Linked DNA regions of Arabidopsis thaliana. The protein of the gene in region 1 interacts with the protein of each later gene in a biochemical or structural test. Each region holds a gene or a part of one and is shown in the gene's direction. Other genes may lie near its edges.

Region 1 (8,651 bases):
CCTCGCTTTGAGCTTTTACCATATATGCATTCGTATGACCGCTCAACCGTTCGGCTCTTCTCCATATCCTCCAGATAATGTAATTCTTTCAGAAGCAATTTAGTTTCTTTACAATTGAAATCAAATATTCCTGGACCGTTATTTCGAAACATATTCCAAGATGGTTGTTGGTTGGTCAGGTCGAAGGTTTGGTGGTTGAAATCGCGGTTATTAGCATTTCATGTGTTTGCGGAAATGTGTATGTTGATCTTAGATTAAGGGTTATATATACAACCGCTAAACGCAATCACTGGTTGTTGCAATTATTTGATTTATGGTTTGACAGAAATTGGAGGATCTCTGGGAGTGCAAATAATTACATTATCACTCACCAACTTCGATGTGGCAGGAGATAAGATAAGATACTTGTGAAGATTAAACTAATCAAAAAACATCAATCAATTTCTTTTGGAAACTTGTAATCTTTCCCAAAAGTGTAAAAAAATAAAAATTTGATCTTTTTTTTTACATAAGTCCAAGATTATCGTCTGGTTCTTGTTTATAAAGAGAAACACGGACTAAGGCAATAATAGTTTTGTTGAAGTTGAGATTGATTTCAAAGGGATCGTCTTTAATGGAGGTGATACACGCATGGTCTGCTCCAAGATCACTCAGCACCACTCTCATGTACTCCTTTGCCCAGGTACTCTTTTTGTTTTCTTACCTTACTCAGAGATTTTTCCTGGAAATGGAACAGATTTGCCCAGGTACTGTTTTATCATAGAAAATTTATTGATGATCTAAATTTTGTTTGAGTGATTGAATCCCACCTTCTGAGCAGTAGAGAAATAGTTCTCTGTGTATTGATACCAGGAAAGAAAGAAAAAAGGATCAAAATTTTTGGTTTTAAATATTCTTCTTGGCTTCAAAACATCTATGTGTCCTCAATGATAAACAGTTCCGAATAAAAGTTTTTTACATTTTTGAGTTATTGTGAAACTATGTATGGTGTGAGTTGTAACTTGCAAGATGCTTTGGTTTAAATTTCTTCAGAGAGATGACATTGAAGTGCTTGATGAGCCATTATACGCTGCGTTCCTCAAGTCTACGGGTGTTGATAGGCCTTACAAAGATGAGCTTCTCTCTAAGATGGTAAGTTAATTCACATTAGTCAATTTAGGCATAGAGGAGAAATAGTATAATCGTCGCGTTTTCTAATAGGAGTGTGATGGAGAAAAGGTGGTGAAGGATATCATTTATGGTCCAGGAAAGAAGAAATATAGGTTTTGTAAGGTTATACTCACTTCTCTTTCTGATATAGAGACTTCAATTTTGTTCTATACCACACTGTGTTTGGGATAAATTTGTGTTTCTGGCCTTTCTCTGCACAGCATATATCGAAACAGCGACTTCTTGGTTTGCCAAGTGAACTAATGAGTGAAGGGAAGCACTTTATATTGATACGCAATCCCCTCAACATATTGGTAAGCTTCTCAAACTCACTTCTGGTGTTATGTTTTCGTGGAGATTCTTCTGGGTTGGTTTTGTCTTGACGTTTATGGGTCTGATCCTTTCTGGTTTGAGATGTTTCCTCTCTTTGCTTTCGTTTCTTTGTCTTTTCTTGCAGCCTTCTTTTGAGAAGATACACCCTTCATCGTTTCACGAATTGGGACTGGGAGAGTTAGTATCGATATACAGTGATCTCTGTCAGATGGGAACACCACCAGCAATCATCGATGCAGATGAGCTCCAGCGAGATCCCGAGGTTTCATTGCTATATTATGAAATTTTCACAAGGAAACCATTTCTTTTATGTAAGAAGATTCTTATGTTCTGTGCCATTCTTCTATTTTCAGGCTACACTACGCAGTCTTTGTGATGACTTAGAGATCCCCTTTCAAGCCTCTATGCTTAAGTAGACCCTCTATGCTCTAGTGATCTCTTCGATTTGACAGTTAATGGCAAAAGCAATGACTGTATCTTTATTGTTTGCGTTCTCTTAAAGATGGGAGGCTGGTCCTATACCAGAAGATGGACTTTGGGCTCCATGGTGGTACGAGACTCTTCATAAATCAACAGGGTTCTCGTCGCCCCAGAAGTACCCTCAGGTACAAGACCTGTTTTCGCTGCAATTTAAGATCCTGAAACTCAGACATCATTCAAACTACAATGTGTTTTGTTTTGCTTTCAGACTTTCCCTTTAATGCATTACGATTTGCTGGAGCAATGTTTACCGCTGTACAACATTCTGAGGTGCCACATGAAGCACAAGTCATCGCTCTTGTCCAGCACCTTACCTCCTCCCAGTCTCCCAGTTCCTGAAAATGCTAAACTTCTTGCTTGGGTTGGTGATGAGATTGTGCCACGAGAGATGGCGAAGGTGCTTGAGCCATACATGGATCTCTGTTTGTTATTTCTTGTTTATGCTTATGTTCTGATGTTATTTGTCTTTATTCTTGCTTAAGGTTTCTGTTTTTGACTCGGTCGTGCAAGGCGGTGACTCTGTATGGGAAGGTCTTCGTATATACAAAGGGAAAGTATTTAAGCTTGAAGAACATCTAGACCGGTAAGAAGCAAGTAAGAGAAAGTACTTCTTCGAATCATTCTTAGTAATATGTTGAAGTGTTGCATATAGGTTGTCTGATTCCGCAAAGGCTCTGGCTTTCAACAATGTCCCAACCCGCGAGGAGGTAAGTATATGATGAAGATAAAAATCATTGTCATTGTTTGGAATATGGGACTTTTCAATGAAGCTATCACAACTGAAAATGCACAGATAAAAGAAGCCATCTTCAGAACTCTCATAACCAATGGGATGTTTGACAATACACATATAAGATTGTCTCTAACTCGAGGCAAAAAGGTATTAATCACACTTTGACCAACTTCAAAGTAAATTATATGCAAGAAGATGCTTCTTTCTGTTTCCATTTCAATCATTTTAAACCTAAACAGCTATCAATTTTGTTTCTTTTAAGGTCACATCTGGAATGAGCCCTGCATTTAACCGTTATGGATGTACTTTGATCGGTAAAGTTTCAGATTTTTCTCTTGCAAGCATACAACTAAACTCTGTGGAATATGGTTTTTTGAGTATTATCGTTTTTCAAAATATTGTGTAGTGCTTGCTGAATGGAAGCCTCCGGTATATGACAATGATGGCGGAATTGTGCTGGTGACTGCAACTACACGCCGGAATTCACCCAACGTATAAAATTGCTCTCATTGTCTTGCATTTATATTTATTTGAGAAACACATTTGCTCAGAAGTGTTTTTGTCCATTGTTGTTTAATCTTCTTCTAAACTTTCTTTCCAGAATTTAGATTCCAAGATTCATCACAACAACCTCCTCAATAATATACTTGCAAAGGTACCATCCTTTGCCTGTCATCGAGTTGAATCCGTGATCATGTGTTATTAGGGACGTCATTGTGAGATGTTTTTATTGGTAATGACACAGATTGAAAGCAACAATGCCAACGTCGATGATGCAATCATGCTTGACAAGGATGGGTTTGTGTCTGAAACCAATGCAACCAACATTGTAAGATCCTCGGATTGAACATTTTTTACTCTCAAAGAACCGTACTGAATCTCTGTGTAGCATTTGGAAACTAACATGGTGGAGGAACTCTGTTGGTGCAGTTCATGGTGAAGAAAGACCGAGTACTCACTCCTCACGCAGATTATTGTCTCCCCGGCATTACTCGAGCTACTGTAAGAGAGAAGAAGATTCATATTCTTTCTGATAACATATTTCAGGACTATAACATGACCAGTCTTATTTTCTAATCCATGTCCAGGTGATGGAACTGGTGGTGAAAGAGAACTTTATCTTAGAAGAACGTAGAATCAGCTTGTCGGAATTCCATACAGCTGATGAGGTTTCCTCATCTTTTCCTTAATCTTAGAATCTCAAATGATCACTAACTAAGTGTTATCAATCCATATCAAAACTTTCTAGGTATGGACTACAGGAACTATGGGAGAACTCAGCCCGGTACATACTCAATCTCTATTTTACAATCAAGGAATATGAAAATCTCAATGTTTTGAGTGAAGATTTCCTTCTTGTGAAACACTTTCTGGTTGGTTTTTGTGCCGCTTATTTATCGAGGTTATTGGTTTTAGGTTGTGAAAATTGATGGGCGTGTGATCGGTGAAGGAAAAGTAGGACCGGTAACAAGAAGACTTCAAAATGCTTACAAGAAACTGACGGATGGTTCAGGTGTCCCAATACCTACTTACCAAGAAGTCAAGAACCTTGAACCATGTGTTTGATCGTAGAACACGAATGGTAAACCAGGCTTGTTAAATGTGTTCATCTAGATTCGTAAACTCTAACAAGAACGTTGAACAAAAGGAACCTTATTTTGGAAAAATGAAATCAACGTTAACATAATTTCATCATTGGTTTTTTATTTTTGAAGTACTGAAAAGGTTTTGTGATTGCAGGAAAAAAACATTGCATACGAGGAAAACGGCACGTATTTCAGAGGAAAGCTGTGGTGTTTTACGTTTTTGAATAGAAAGTGCGTGCTGTTTTAGCTCTCAAACTCTCTCATATTATGCTGTTGACCTGTTGTAGCCTGTGGGTCAATGTAATCACAGTTGGTCGCAAATCCAAGTCAAGTCAGGCTCTCTTGTTTGACTTTTCAATTTTTTTTTCCACAATAACGATAATGCTGATCAATAAACAAAACCATAATATCATCAATTTTTGCTTTGAGTTCTAGTATATATAAAAAACTATAAAGTCCTTAGTTTGGGTTGAGAAGCATAAATTTAAACCTCCCACAATGAATTTTTTAAATATGCATTAAAGGAGTTTGAATCCTGATAACATAACAACAGTGTAAATACCAAATACTAGACTACTATATGCTTTGATCTAAAAACATAAGAAAATAACATTATTAGTAAGTAAAGACACTTGGTTTAAGTAGTAAACTCCCTAATGGATCTAGTTTTTCACTTTCCATGTCATTTTCAAATATTATATCGACTAAAATAGGTGATAACAAAAAAGTAACTTATAGAGAGAAAAAAAAATTAGTTCATGTTGGAGACATAACTTTTGCTAATTTAAATCAAAGATCAAATGAATTTGGTTTGCTTTTGGGACTATAGTGACCACACATATAATAAATAGTGTGATTCCACGAGATTTGTTATTGGTTAAAAGGTAAAATTGAAAAATTGCAGATCATTTTGTCTTTGTGCAGATTGCCAATTTTTATTCCCAACGGATTGGATTTGCCAATTCAAAGTCAACAGAAATTGTAATTAAAAAAAAAAAGAAGCATATTTGAGTTAGTGATCAGGATAGACCTATGATGGCTAAAGACTTTCTAGAAGAATATGAATATCAAAGTAGTCGTCTATAAATGATGACGGCTAAGACTAGTAAACATAAATTTGTTAATTTTTTCAAGTAATTTTTTCTTCGTGTGATCACATATCATTAACATGTTCCAAATTCATGGTCCTCTTATCTTGAATAAGATTTTAGTATGTATTGTAAACTAGCTCAAAACATTAACATTTCTGTAATAAACGAATGAATGAAACTTGCCGGTGAAATAGTAAATTATAAAAAAGAGATATGAAAATGACCATTTTAGATGAAATAAAAGATACTTTTCATACATACATATACAGAGTTTAGGACCATTTCAACAACTTCTTCGAAGTCATCGAACTATTTTGATTTGTATGACTTTTCACTTCCATCTCCAATTGGAAACTTCTGACCGTCCACGTGGCATTCAATAAGTAACACATTTGCTTATGACATATCCCCTAACTTCCTCGCTTCTTCTCCACGACTTTTTCAAACTTTTCAAAACCTCCCTATAAACTTCAGATCCTTATTCCTCACAATATTAAACCAAAAAAAAAAACTAACTTTTTGGGACTCCAGAACTAATAATGGATCCCATAAAACACATCTCTTTACCAGTTCTTGTCTTGTTTCTACTATTATCCGTGTCGGCGGGTCAACCCGGAACCCCGGACCAGAGACATGACCCGTATGCTTACAGCGGCAGTCTAAGTCCAGCCATGGCTGTTGTCGTTGTAGTTGTCATCGCAGCTCTCTTCTTCATGGGCTTCTTCACCGTCTATATACGTCACTGTACTGGCGCAGTAGACGGTAGCGTTACTCCTGCAGGAGGAGCTAGGAGGAGAGTGACGAACGCAACGGTTGCGCGTGGGTTAGACGCGGAGACGATCGAGACGTTTCCGACTTTTGTTTACTCAGAAGTGAAGACACAGAAGATTGGTAAAGGAGCGTTGGAGTGTGCGATTTGTTTGAATGAGTTTGAAGACGATGAAACGCTGCGTCTGTTGCCTAAATGTGATCACGTGTTTCATCCTCATTGTATCGGCGCGTGGCTTCAAGGTCACGTGACTTGTCCGGTTTGTCGGACTAATCTTGCTGAACAGACGCCTGAACCGGAAGTGGTGGTGGAAACCGATCTTGAGGCGCAGCAGCAATCGGCGGTTCCTGTACCGGTGGTGGAACTTCCACGTGTTAAATTCCCGAGGTCGCATACGACAGGGCATTCGGTGGTTTTACCGGGAGAGAGTACCGACCGGTTTACGCTTAGAGTACCGGAAGAATTAAGGAAGAAGATAATGGCGAATTGGAAATTGAACCGGTCGAATAGTGTTTTTGTTTTACCGAGAGGAGGAAGCTCGAGGAGTGGTAAACAGGTTGACCGGTCGAGGGCTAAATCGGACCGGTGGTTGTTCCGTAAAACTCCGTCGTTTCTATGGAGGAACCGGGATGATGGTTCGATTAGGCTAGGTGGTACCGGTAGTGTTAGAGGAAATTCAGTAACAAGTCCGAGCGGTGACTCGGTACGAGCAGACCGGTGGGCTTTTCTTAGAAACCCATCGTTTCTCTGGAGGAATACGACGCCGGTTCCTTCGCCGAGAGTTGAAGTCAATAATAAGGACGGTGAAGGAACATCGTCAGTTCAACATATCGGTACAGTTGGTTCAACTAGCGGTTCCCTTAGGCTACCGGTTTAGTGTTCGGTGATGTTTTGTGCATTGTTCATAAACACGCAATAGATTTTACGTAATTCTTTAATTTTGTTTGTCTTTTTCTGTAAGATATTTAAATCGACAATCCAACGGAAAAAGGAGATTGTTTTACTTAATTTATTTTATACTCTTCAAAAGTCAAACAAAGAACGAACTGGAGATTGGTCTTGTTCTTAAAAAAAAAAAAAGTCTTGTTCGTCGACCAAAGAATACATGGAACTGGAAGATAGAGACTACAACATTATTTTATAGCGGTAATGGAATGTATTATCTAGTTCTGAATTCATGTGTTTATTTCTCGATGAATACGATGAACGACTAAAAAAAGAGAGGAACTATATAACAAACAAATTTGTTACCAATTAATGATTGTTTTTTTTTTGGGGAAATACAACGTTTTTTTTTTCTCAAGTAGTATTGTTGTCGGACCAAAACAAAAATTTGTACTAATATATGAATCAAGTAGATAAGAACAATGTATCAAATTAAAATTTCAGATAACAGTTTCCACAGTTAATCATTTGAGCGTCAAAAAAAGTAATATCATTTGAACATTGAAGCACGAGGTACTTTACTTTCAGAGCTGAGACTAAAGATAGTTCGAGAAGATCTTATTTTAATACTTGGAAGTTGGAAATACGGAAATGAAATCATATACATTAAAATATAAAACATAGTTACTTCATCAGATAGACCACGACTAAGTCGTTTCGATACGGATTGGAAGATTACTTGTTCAACAATTTGAATAGTTACGTAGAAAGTTGCCATCATTCAAATTTTATTCTAGAAACATAAAAATGTAAAAATTACCAAACACACAATATAGCCGTTGTTGTCTACAATATGATGATGGTACCATTGTTTATTTGTTTTTATATAACTGCATACGAGATGTTGGAAAATGTTTACATATATTTTAGTTAGTTAGTTTAAATAATAATAAAATAATTTGTACTTTTTATTTAATTTACTCTATTTTTTAATAATTTTATGTTTTTTGTTTATTTTATGTGACATTCGATCTACGTCCGTAATCAGATTGAGAATACAAGAACGTCTCATACCTCAGAAAAAATTTATAGTTCTGCATTTTGCTTTTTTTTTGCGAGAGTCGGCGGCATCTCTGTCACACTGAACAGTAAAGAGAAAAATATATTTAGGATTTATTTTAATCGTGTATTTATACTGTGTTTTTTGGGCTGGGTCTTAAACAAATCTGCCCAAAAAATATATATATATATATATTTTATTTTATCTCTTGTGAAAATATGTAAACAATTTATTCTTTTTGTGCTGAATGATTAATAAGTGAATGCAAGGTTCCAAGTTTAAGAAAATATATACTCGATTTGATCCGACGAAATCATATGGAATTGCGAGCAATACATTTATCAAGGTTTTAAAAATTGAGATTTCAAAATAACGCTTTTGTTATTATAACGACAAACAAAATAAACCATATTTCTTATAGAAAAAAAATAGTTCGTTCTAAATTTGTACATGACTCAATATCTTATTTTTTAAATCCCATATAGTATCAAAAAGTATTAAATTATTAATGCACACAAAGTCACAATCAATGATTTATATTAAATAAAATTGCATTGACTAACTA
Region 2 (9,110 bases), on another chromosome or scaffold:
TAATCTTCTTCTTAAAATTCAGTCATTGGGTTTCAAGAATACTGGTTATATAAAGTTGTGTAGAAAAGATGTAAAGTCTAACTGGTTATAAAAATTCATTCAGATCTATATGGACGTCGTAAATCAACATGTATTATCAACAATTGGAAAGTGGCCCTCTTTGCTCTTCCACACATCTAAGAAAAGACTCTTCTTTTACAAAGACTCTTCCTAACTCGACTTGCTTTCGTTTAGCTTGGGAATTTTCTTGTACTCGTACGTGTTTATTCCACCTTCTCTTGCATAGCCTACGGTAAACAAAACCCAGGCAAGATTATAATGTTTCATCAAAGCTTTTATGCAGTCTAATTGAGGGTATATCCTTTGTTACCTTGAGCTCATCTTCGATGGATGTGTTTTTAGGTTTATAAGCATCAACAGGTCCTGTTCTTGAAAGCGCCTTTCTTGTTTCTATAATCTCCCATTCTTAGTCATCTTTTACCTTTGCAATATCCTTACTGAACTAACCAAATAAACCATATGTGGTGAATTCTAAACAAAATCATTGACATATCCCCAGGCATTTATAGATTCAGAGCTTAGTTTACAATCAAGAAAGAACTGACCTGCCTTGAAGGAGTTGGCCAAGTCCGAGGGCTCCAAATACTGTGAGAGATATCATCGGAAGTCCATATTGTACAAACGGATGTCTCCTTCCCCACCTTTTAAACGATGCCGAAGACTGCTTAAGAGTACGCGGTAGTAGCAGAACTGGAAGGAGAAGACTTTTGAGTTTTCGATTGTTGTCATCTTTGTATTAACCACAAATCACACAACTGCAAGGAAAAAGCAAGAGTTAAATTAAAACCTACTACCATGTTATCATGCCATTTGTTTGCAGTATGAGAAACTGTGTTGCAGAACAAAGATTGAGGAATCCATTTTCTACTCTCTAATAACATAGTCTTCTGAAATTAGTCACAAAACATTGTTGCAAATATGGTAATCTGTCAATTTCAGATCGAGTCGATCAATTTGAAAATAGAGCAGAGTTTAAAATTCTGTTTCATGTGACTGGATTTGTTTCCTCGTATCTTCTACAAACAACAGATTCGTATGAGTGACCTAAATAACGTTTCCTAAACCCTAGAAATTCTCAATCTAAACCCAGAAGTCAATTCCATTCAAGGCACAACGCACCGATTTGTAGTTTCACATAAATCAAAACTAACCTGGAGCTGCGTGATGGCCGGAATCTGAAGTAGCTTACGAGATCGACGCATGACGAAATTAGATAGAGACGGAGATGGAGACGCCGGGAAATAGAACGTGTGTTATATGAAAAAGCATGTTTTTAAGCTTTGAGTATGGCACTCGTAAATACTAATTCGGCACTGCTTCGGCTTTCAATGTACCATAGACCATCTACATTTTTTTGGTAGAAGAGGGGAGACTAGTCTCCCATTTTATTGAAAATTAAAACAAACTACAAAAACGAGTATACTCGACGAGGGCGCGCAGACTCAATAACGTCATCACTAAACAGCGAATCAACAACAAGAGGAACAAAAACAAAAGCATAAAGCCCAATAGCAAAGAGAACGCATAGTTAGCTAACCCGTCAGTAAGGCGGTTAGCCTCTCTATACACATGAGAAATACGGACTATCCAGTCCTTCGAAAAAAAGCCGTGGCACAACCGTACCAAGAAAGACAAAGGGTGTCGCTCGCTAACCCCAGTCTTGAGAAAGCCCACCACCAATGTCGAGTCTACTTCCAACTCCACTCTCGTCACCTTCTTCTCCCAAGCGAAGTACATGCCGTAATAGACACCCCATAACTCCGCCACCGGAGCCGTACAACGACCAATGTTAAGAGCGAAACCCCCACACCACTCTCCCGCACTGTTTCTTAGCACTCCTCCCGCTGTAGCCAGACCCGGATTACCCCGTGATGCCCCACCAGTATTGAGCTTCAGCCACCCATCGTTAGGCACACCCCAACCAACCATTACTTCCACCCTACCGCCTATCCCCGAACCTCCTTTATGTTTACTAGTAGCGGTAGTTACTTCCTTAGCCGCATCCTTAATAAACCTCGTTCTATCCCGACACTTACCACGTTTGTCAAACACGTTATCACAGCGCCACTTCCAAGCCCACCAAATAGCCATCGTGAAAACCGTAGACCATACACTCTCATATATTTCCCGGTCATCACCTAGGTTATCATGCTACCATTCGATCAACGACTGTGCAAAGAAGGATCTCCTCCGCCGCTGGGGAATGATACGATCCCAAAGTCCTGCCATTGCGGGACAATCCCGAAGGATGTGAATAATCGTCTCACTTCCCCCCTTACAGACTTGGCAAACATCTGTTATACACAGATGCCTTCTAAATCGCTCAGCATCCGTCATTAGAGCTTGATTCCCGACTAACCAAAGAAACATTTTTGCTCTCTCCGTCGCCACCACCCCCCATATGCGACTAAAAAGAACAACACAACATATACAACAAAACATAGAATATCAACATTAAAGAATATAAAAAATATCAACAAAACATATACAACTCGCAGTGTATTATATATTTAAAATCAAATAAAATAATATCATAAATTTATTAATCATCTTTACAAAAAAAGATTTTTAGTTTAACTAAAATATAAACTTACCCGCGGTATACCGCGGGTTAATATCTAGTGCAAACATATTTAGTAGGAGTATCATAAAAAATCTCAAACATTATAAATAATACTTAAAAATTCCTTATGATACCATATGAGTATCACCCATATACATGCTATTATTGTGGGTAAAAATAGATAGTTTTGCGCAAGACCTATTAAATTATGAATATTTTGATTATTTGTTCCATAATTATTAAAATTTGAACATTTTTGTTGTTAGCGCAAGATTCAATCCTTGCTTTGGGGAAAAATTAAAGCTATACGTAATTTCACTGATCGTTTTTGGAAAGAAACATGGAAATTAAAAGGTGAGCTTTTTTTTTAGTTGCTGCTTCTCTATTGATGAGTTCCTAGCGTTATGTGGAATCTAGAAACTTTGTGATTTTGTTTATAATCTATGCTTACTCTTTTCTCATGTTTACGCTTCTAGATGATAAACAACGAACACGTTGGAATAAGTCCTACAACATCTTGTTTGGGATGGAGCCAGGAAGTTCTGAGATGAATCTATCTTATATGCCCAACTACAAAGGACTTTGTTGATTTCATGTTTGAAAAGCAAAAGCCTATCCAATTCTTCACTCCAACGGTTAATTTTAACCACATTCGCGGTTCTACTATATATCCTTAATGAAATGTAGATTCTAGGACCTTAAAATTGTTTTTCCTCTGTGGCAGAGAACTTTTTCTACATCGATGCCCATGAAAGTCTCTTGACTTCTTGCCTCCTACTATTTTATGCATCCTAAAGCGAATCTCGATAAGGTTGTAATCTCTATTATATCCATCCTAAACACCGTTTGTGTATTCTCCATGTGTTTGATTCCTTTTGAATGTTTTGGTTCCTAGCTGAAACTCCAATATGAGGGGTTAGAGCATTAGTTATTCAACCTAAAACTCCATTATCTCTGACTCAAAGACCTATCATTGTCTTTAGTGTGACTCCAAATTATGAGGCTTTCTCTCTACCTTGCAAGATCAAACTTGAAAGAAATCTTGATAAAATCCTAACTTCAGGAAAATTGTGTATATACATATGTCGTTTAATCGATACTCTACATGTTTGCTTGTTTAACAACGATATGTGTGTACGTTTTGTGCATACTATTTTCAGCAAATAGTTTTTTTCATAGAGAAATTAAATTTTAGTAAATACACGAATATTATAATTATGATCTCACAAAAAAGAAAAAAAAAACCGAGATCTTCAAATAAATATAAAACTTACTTACATAGACATGCAAAGCCTTCTTGACATGCAAATGGATGTTGTCCATGTTCCTAATAGAGGGGATGAAACCAATCCACAAAATTTATTTTTACTAAAGTGATGAGGACTTATAGCCTTAGAAATATAGTAATTATGAGTATCCAAAACAGAACAGTTGGTCTTCTTAAATAAAAAAAATAAAAAAAATAATTAGATGTTTATAATAATATCTTATTATAACAGTTGGTCCTCTTAATTTTTTTTTAAAAAGAGATAATTAAATGTTTATAATAATATTTGTAAATTAACGATGTCGGCTCACTAGATTTACGATGATTGACGTATTTGTTTGTAAATTTTATGAAATTACGTTCATTAAATTAAATATTTAAATACTAAAGATTAACAGCTAAAGAAATCTTAATGAAATATTGCCATCTTTGGGTTTTAAATTTTCTATTTTTCATATTTCATATCGGATATCCGATTAAAAATGAAATCAGTAAGTATACCAAAATACAAGCGTTATATTTATTGGGCCTATTCGGGCCATTCAATAATTAATTCACCCACGCGCAAATGAGTTAATCCGTAAAATAGGCTTTAAAGCCCATTCAATAAACCCGTTTCGCAGGAAAAAAGCCCATTAAATAAGTAATTTCCAGAAATACCCTTTTCCAATCATTGAAAATTCAAACTTGACCTAAAAAGTATCTGAAAAGCCAGCGCCTTTTTTCGTTACGAATCCGTGTTTTTGCCAGCTTTCAATCCAACGGCTCTCCTTTCTTCTCACAATCCGTAATCATCGCTCCCCACTCATTCATTATAAACAAAAACAAAAATCCACGGAGCCGATAAAAAAAAAAAAAAACTCTCTCAGATCTGAGAATCATTTCTTCTTCTTCTTCCTCACTTTGTTCATCATCTTCTTCTCCGATCTAAACAACAATGGCGACACCAGGAGCTTCCTCAGCAAGAGATGAATTCGTATACATGGCGAAACTCGCCGAACAAGCAGAGCGTTACGAAGAAATGGTTGAATTCATGGAGAAAGTCGCGAAAGCTGTTGACAAAGACGAACTCACCGTCGAAGAACGTAATCTCCTCTCCGTCGCTTACAAAAACGTCATCGGAGCTCGTCGTGCTTCGTGGAGAATCATTTCATCGATCGAACAAAAGGAGGAGTCTCGCGGTAACGATGACCACGTTTCGTTGATCCGTGACTACAGAAGCAAAATCGAAACGGAACTTTCTGATATCTGTGACGGAATCCTTAAGCTTCTCGATACGATTCTCGTTCCCGCTGCTGCTTCTGGAGATTCGAAGGTGTTTTATCTGAAGATGAAAGGTGATTATCATAGGTACTTGGCTGAGTTCAAATCTGGTCAAGAGAGGAAAGATGCTGCTGAACATACTCTTACTGCTTACAAAGCTGCTCAGGTTTTTGATCTCTTTCTCCGATCTGTGATTTGATTTTTGTGTGATTTAGGTTTTTGAAATTTTGGTTTGTTGTGTAGGATATTGCTAATTCTGAATTGGCTCCAACGCATCCGATTCGTCTTGGTCTTGCGTTGAACTTCTCTGTGTTTTACTATGAGATTCTCAATTCTCCAGATCGTGCTTGTAATCTCGCTAAGCAGGTTTGGATCTCATCTGAGGGATGTTTTATATGATTATGTATTGTTGGTTTATGTGTGTGTTTGATGAGTTTTTGTTTATGGATTTATTTAGGCGTTTGATGAAGCAATTGCTGAATTGGATACTCTTGGTGAAGAGTCATACAAGGACAGTACTTTGATTATGCAGCTTCTTCGTGATAACCTCACTCTCTGGACTTCTGATATGCAGGTATTATATATTGGCTCCTGTATGATTGATTTTGTTGCTTGAATTGTGAAACAATGAGCCTAATTAAGTCATTGACAAAAGTTAGATTTGGATATCAAGTTTATTTGATGCATTCTTCTGGTCTAATTCTGATTTTGGTGATTGTCAACTGTGTTAGTAATCTTGCTAGGTATTATATTTTGGCCTTATAAGCTTGTTTTTGTTGCTTGATGAACGAATAACGTTTTTGTTTCTTGATCTCTGAAACTTTTAGCCTATAATTAAACCATTAAGAAAGACTTGATTTGTAATAAAACAGTTTAGTTTACATTTGGATGCATTCTGCTGGCTCTGATTCTGATTTTAGTGATTGTCAAATGTATTTAAGCCTGTTTTGTTGCTTGATTTCTGAAACCATGAGCCTTGTTAAGCCATTGCGGAAGTCTAGATATGGAAAACAAACAGTTTAGTTTACATTTTGATGCATTCTCTTGGTCATATTCTGATTTTAGTGATTGTCAAATGTGTTTAATCCTGTTTTGTTGCTTAATTTATGAAATCATAAGCCTTGTTAAGCCATTGAGGAAGACACGAATTGAATATCAAGTGGTTTAGTTTACATTTTGATGCATTCCTCCTTATGCCTTGCTTAAGCCTGTTTGTGATTTCTGAAACCATGAGCAAGATATATGCCATTGAGGGAGACTAGATTTGGAAATCAAGTTGTTGCTTAGTTTACATTTTGATACATTCCTCAATCCTTCTTTCTTGTGGTCTGATTCTGATTATGATGATCTTGTCAAATGTTTTTTTCAATCAGGACGATGTTGCTGATGACATCAAAGAAGCAGCACCAGCAGCAGCAAAACCCGCTGACGAGCAACAATCCTAAGTCGTCTTACCGCAACTTTGTTGTCATTTCAGTATCTAAAACCTCTCCATTAATATGTTTTTCTCTTGGAGGTGTTTCTCTGTTGGTTTCTTATTTCCTTTTATCCCCAAGCTCTCTAAGGCAGTCTAATTCTTGTCCTTTTTTGCTGCTTTTCTCAACCGTGGATACGAAAACTCGATTCCTATTATTTTTCGTTTATCTGTTTCCATTTTATCGTGATTTGACTCCTATCTTCTGTGTCTTTGTTTGTAATGGATTCAACTTCTCTTTTTGTTTCAATGTCAAGAAAAATCTTTGGTTTATTTCGAAGTTTCCTCTCATGTTATACATATAGTGTACATAGCTTATAGCTTGAGTTTGCTCAGATTGATCCGTTCGACGGGATATGTATATGCCTCGAAGTTGATTTGCTGTCCTAAGCAACTTAGCTTTGTGAATGCAGTTATGAGATCAACCTACAAACATATTCATAAACCAAAACATGAGCTTGAGTTTGAGGTAGATGAATATATGATTAAGGCAAATCGAGTGAAAACGAACCTCGTAATCAGTCTGAGATACGGTTTCACGGCTTCTTTGATACTTCTGAACCCATGGAGCAACTTGAGGGTCAGTAGCTAAGAGCTGTTCTGTTGCAGCTTGATCAGGACCCAAGAATGCAGACATTACAGCTAGCTACAAATTCCTCATACAGGTTAGTTACTTCGAGTGATCCTAGTAGATAATTCTCTGTTTAAACCGAAAATCATGTACCTGACGAGGACCCAATCCAACAGCAATGAACTTATCTTTCATCTCTTGCACAGTTGCTTTCCCCCATTGTGGGACTCTGCCTTCTGGATCAGCCTCTGTTGCATCACTCCTTCCAAAATTTCTATCAAACAATCCCCACTAACAGATTCACAACGGTTCAGTATCGATTTGAACAAAACGCCGCGACTCAAAAGCGAATACGATAGCATTGTTTACCTGACCAGCTGAACCATATGCTGTGTAAAGTAAGTTCCCCTTCTCTTCATTTCCACCACATTTTCGGATAGCCGATGCTAAATATGTAAACTTGACCGCTGATTGTCCTACAGAAACCAACCCAAGAAAGATTTCAGTTATCCACAAATACAATAATGCTACTCTTCATGAACAAGTTTTGGTATATACTATAACATTACCTGCTAATTGAATGATATCTGCATATGAAATAGGACCTCCCTTCGAGATAGAGTCAATCTCCTTCTTCACTTCCTCTATCAAACTCAACCCATCAGAAAGTCCCTCATTCTCTGCTCTACTTAGCTCAGAGCTTCACAAAAAGAAAAGAATGCATTAGACATCATCTAAAGATTACTCTTATAATGTTCTTACATCATATAACTACCTGAACCGTATGGATCCATTGGCTCCCCCGGATTTAGTAGCCTAGACAAAAAGCTAGTATCATTAAAGGGTCACCAGAGAGATGGACAAGAGCATTATATGAAGCCTGACCTTATCATAAGTCATAGCATCATTGAGAGCTAGTTTGAGTAAGGAAGGTACAAGCTCCGGTTTAGCCTTAATGGTGGTTGAAAGCAAAATCTTGATCTTTGCTGCATAATATAAAAGTGAAACCTTTAGTGCCAATAACAACCTAATGGTACCACACTAGTGTTCTTGTTTCAGATACTCACATTGAAACTCGGATCGTTGTCTACGTTGATTCAAGTCAGCAGCTTTTGCATCACCCACATTGTTAATGAAACCGTTGCCTATTAATTCCTAACAAGAGAGATCATCACTGCCAAGAACTCATCAAATGTGACATAGAGAGGACAACTTCAAGAAGATGTAGCCACAGACTATACATTACAATATCTCATTTGTACCAATGTGTATGTAATTTTTGATCGAGTCAAGTGTTAAGGTACCATTCCGACTGCAGTGCCGGCGAGTTTGAGAACATCACGGCGGTGGAAAGCTAAACTTTCACCGGAAACTTGAGGTTCAATCTTGGAACATCGTATAACAGCCTGATCAGAAGAAGAATTGTTAGCAGAAGAAATGTAAAATGGGTTAGAAGTAAAGAATGTAACAATGGTTGAAACTCACAGAGCGATGAGAAGAAGAAGAGAGTGTAGTGAGATGTTGATGATTGGTTGTGTTGGTGAAGGAAGGAACAGTGGAGAGGAAGGACACTCCTCCCATTTCTGGTTTGTGATGAGACAGAGAAGAGAGAAGAAAGGAGAAAGAGTTGTCTGAAGAAAATGGAGAGTGTGTTTTGGTTTTGTGAAGGATACACTTTTGTGGATTCTCTGTTATCCAAATCTCCCAATCATATGGGTCCATTTGGTTTCATCATATAACTCCTTTTTTTTTTTTCAATAAGAGTTTTTTAAAAGGTCAAAGATTTTTTTTGTGGTTAAAAATCCCAAAAAAAACTCATACTAATTTTTATTTGCAAGTTTAATACCCAATATTTTTGAATTGGTATAAAAATAAATTATCTAATTATTTACTGTCATAAAATACCTCATAT

What was found.
Region 2: of the proteins of CNI1 (region 1) and GRF1, one has a biochemical effect on the other in vitro, tested with the Arabidopsis thaliana proteins (one study listed by BioGRID).

What each region holds. Positions count from the first base shown.
Region 1 is NC_003076.8:9,678,208-9,686,858, forward strand, and holds CNI1 (carbon/nitrogen insensitive 1), read left to right. Parts: upstream 1-5,780; 5' UTR 5,781-5,911; coding exon 5,912-7,018; 3' UTR 7,019-7,535; downstream 7,536-8,651. Other genes in the region: AT5G27410 (D-aminoacid aminotransferase-like PLP-dependent enzymes superfamily protein), read left to right, coding at 1-32, 547-682, 1,033-1,131, 1,201-1,272, 1,371-1,463, 1,607-1,744, 1,836-1,894, 1,985-2,087 and 12 more; AT5G27400 (S-adenosyl-L-methionine-dependent methyltransferases superfamily protein), read left to right, coding at 1-78. UniProt on the Arabidopsis thaliana protein: E3 ubiquitin-protein ligase that is required for the plant C/N response during seedling growth transition. May be involved in the early steps of the plant defense signaling pathway.
Region 2 is NC_003075.7:5,770,560-5,779,669, forward strand, and holds GRF1 (general regulatory factor 1), read left to right. Parts: upstream 1-4,650; 5' UTR 4,651-4,827; coding exon 4,828-5,319; intron 5,320-5,396; coding exon 5,397-5,519; intron 5,520-5,610; coding exon 5,611-5,727; exon of another isoform or gene 5,728-5,812; coding exon 5,813-5,879; exon of another isoform or gene 5,880-6,085; intron 6,086-6,230; exon of another isoform or gene 6,231-6,440; coding exon 6,441-6,598; 3' UTR 6,599-6,922; downstream 6,923-9,110. Other genes in the region: TL29 (ascorbate peroxidase 4), read right to left, coding at 6,943-7,053, 7,139-7,273, 7,352-7,489, 7,568-7,674, 7,768-7,898, 7,974-8,014, 8,084-8,184, 8,266-8,353 and 2 more. UniProt on the Arabidopsis thaliana protein: Is associated with a DNA binding complex that binds to the G box, a well-characterized cis-acting DNA regulatory element found in plant genes. Involved in the regulation of nutrient metabolism.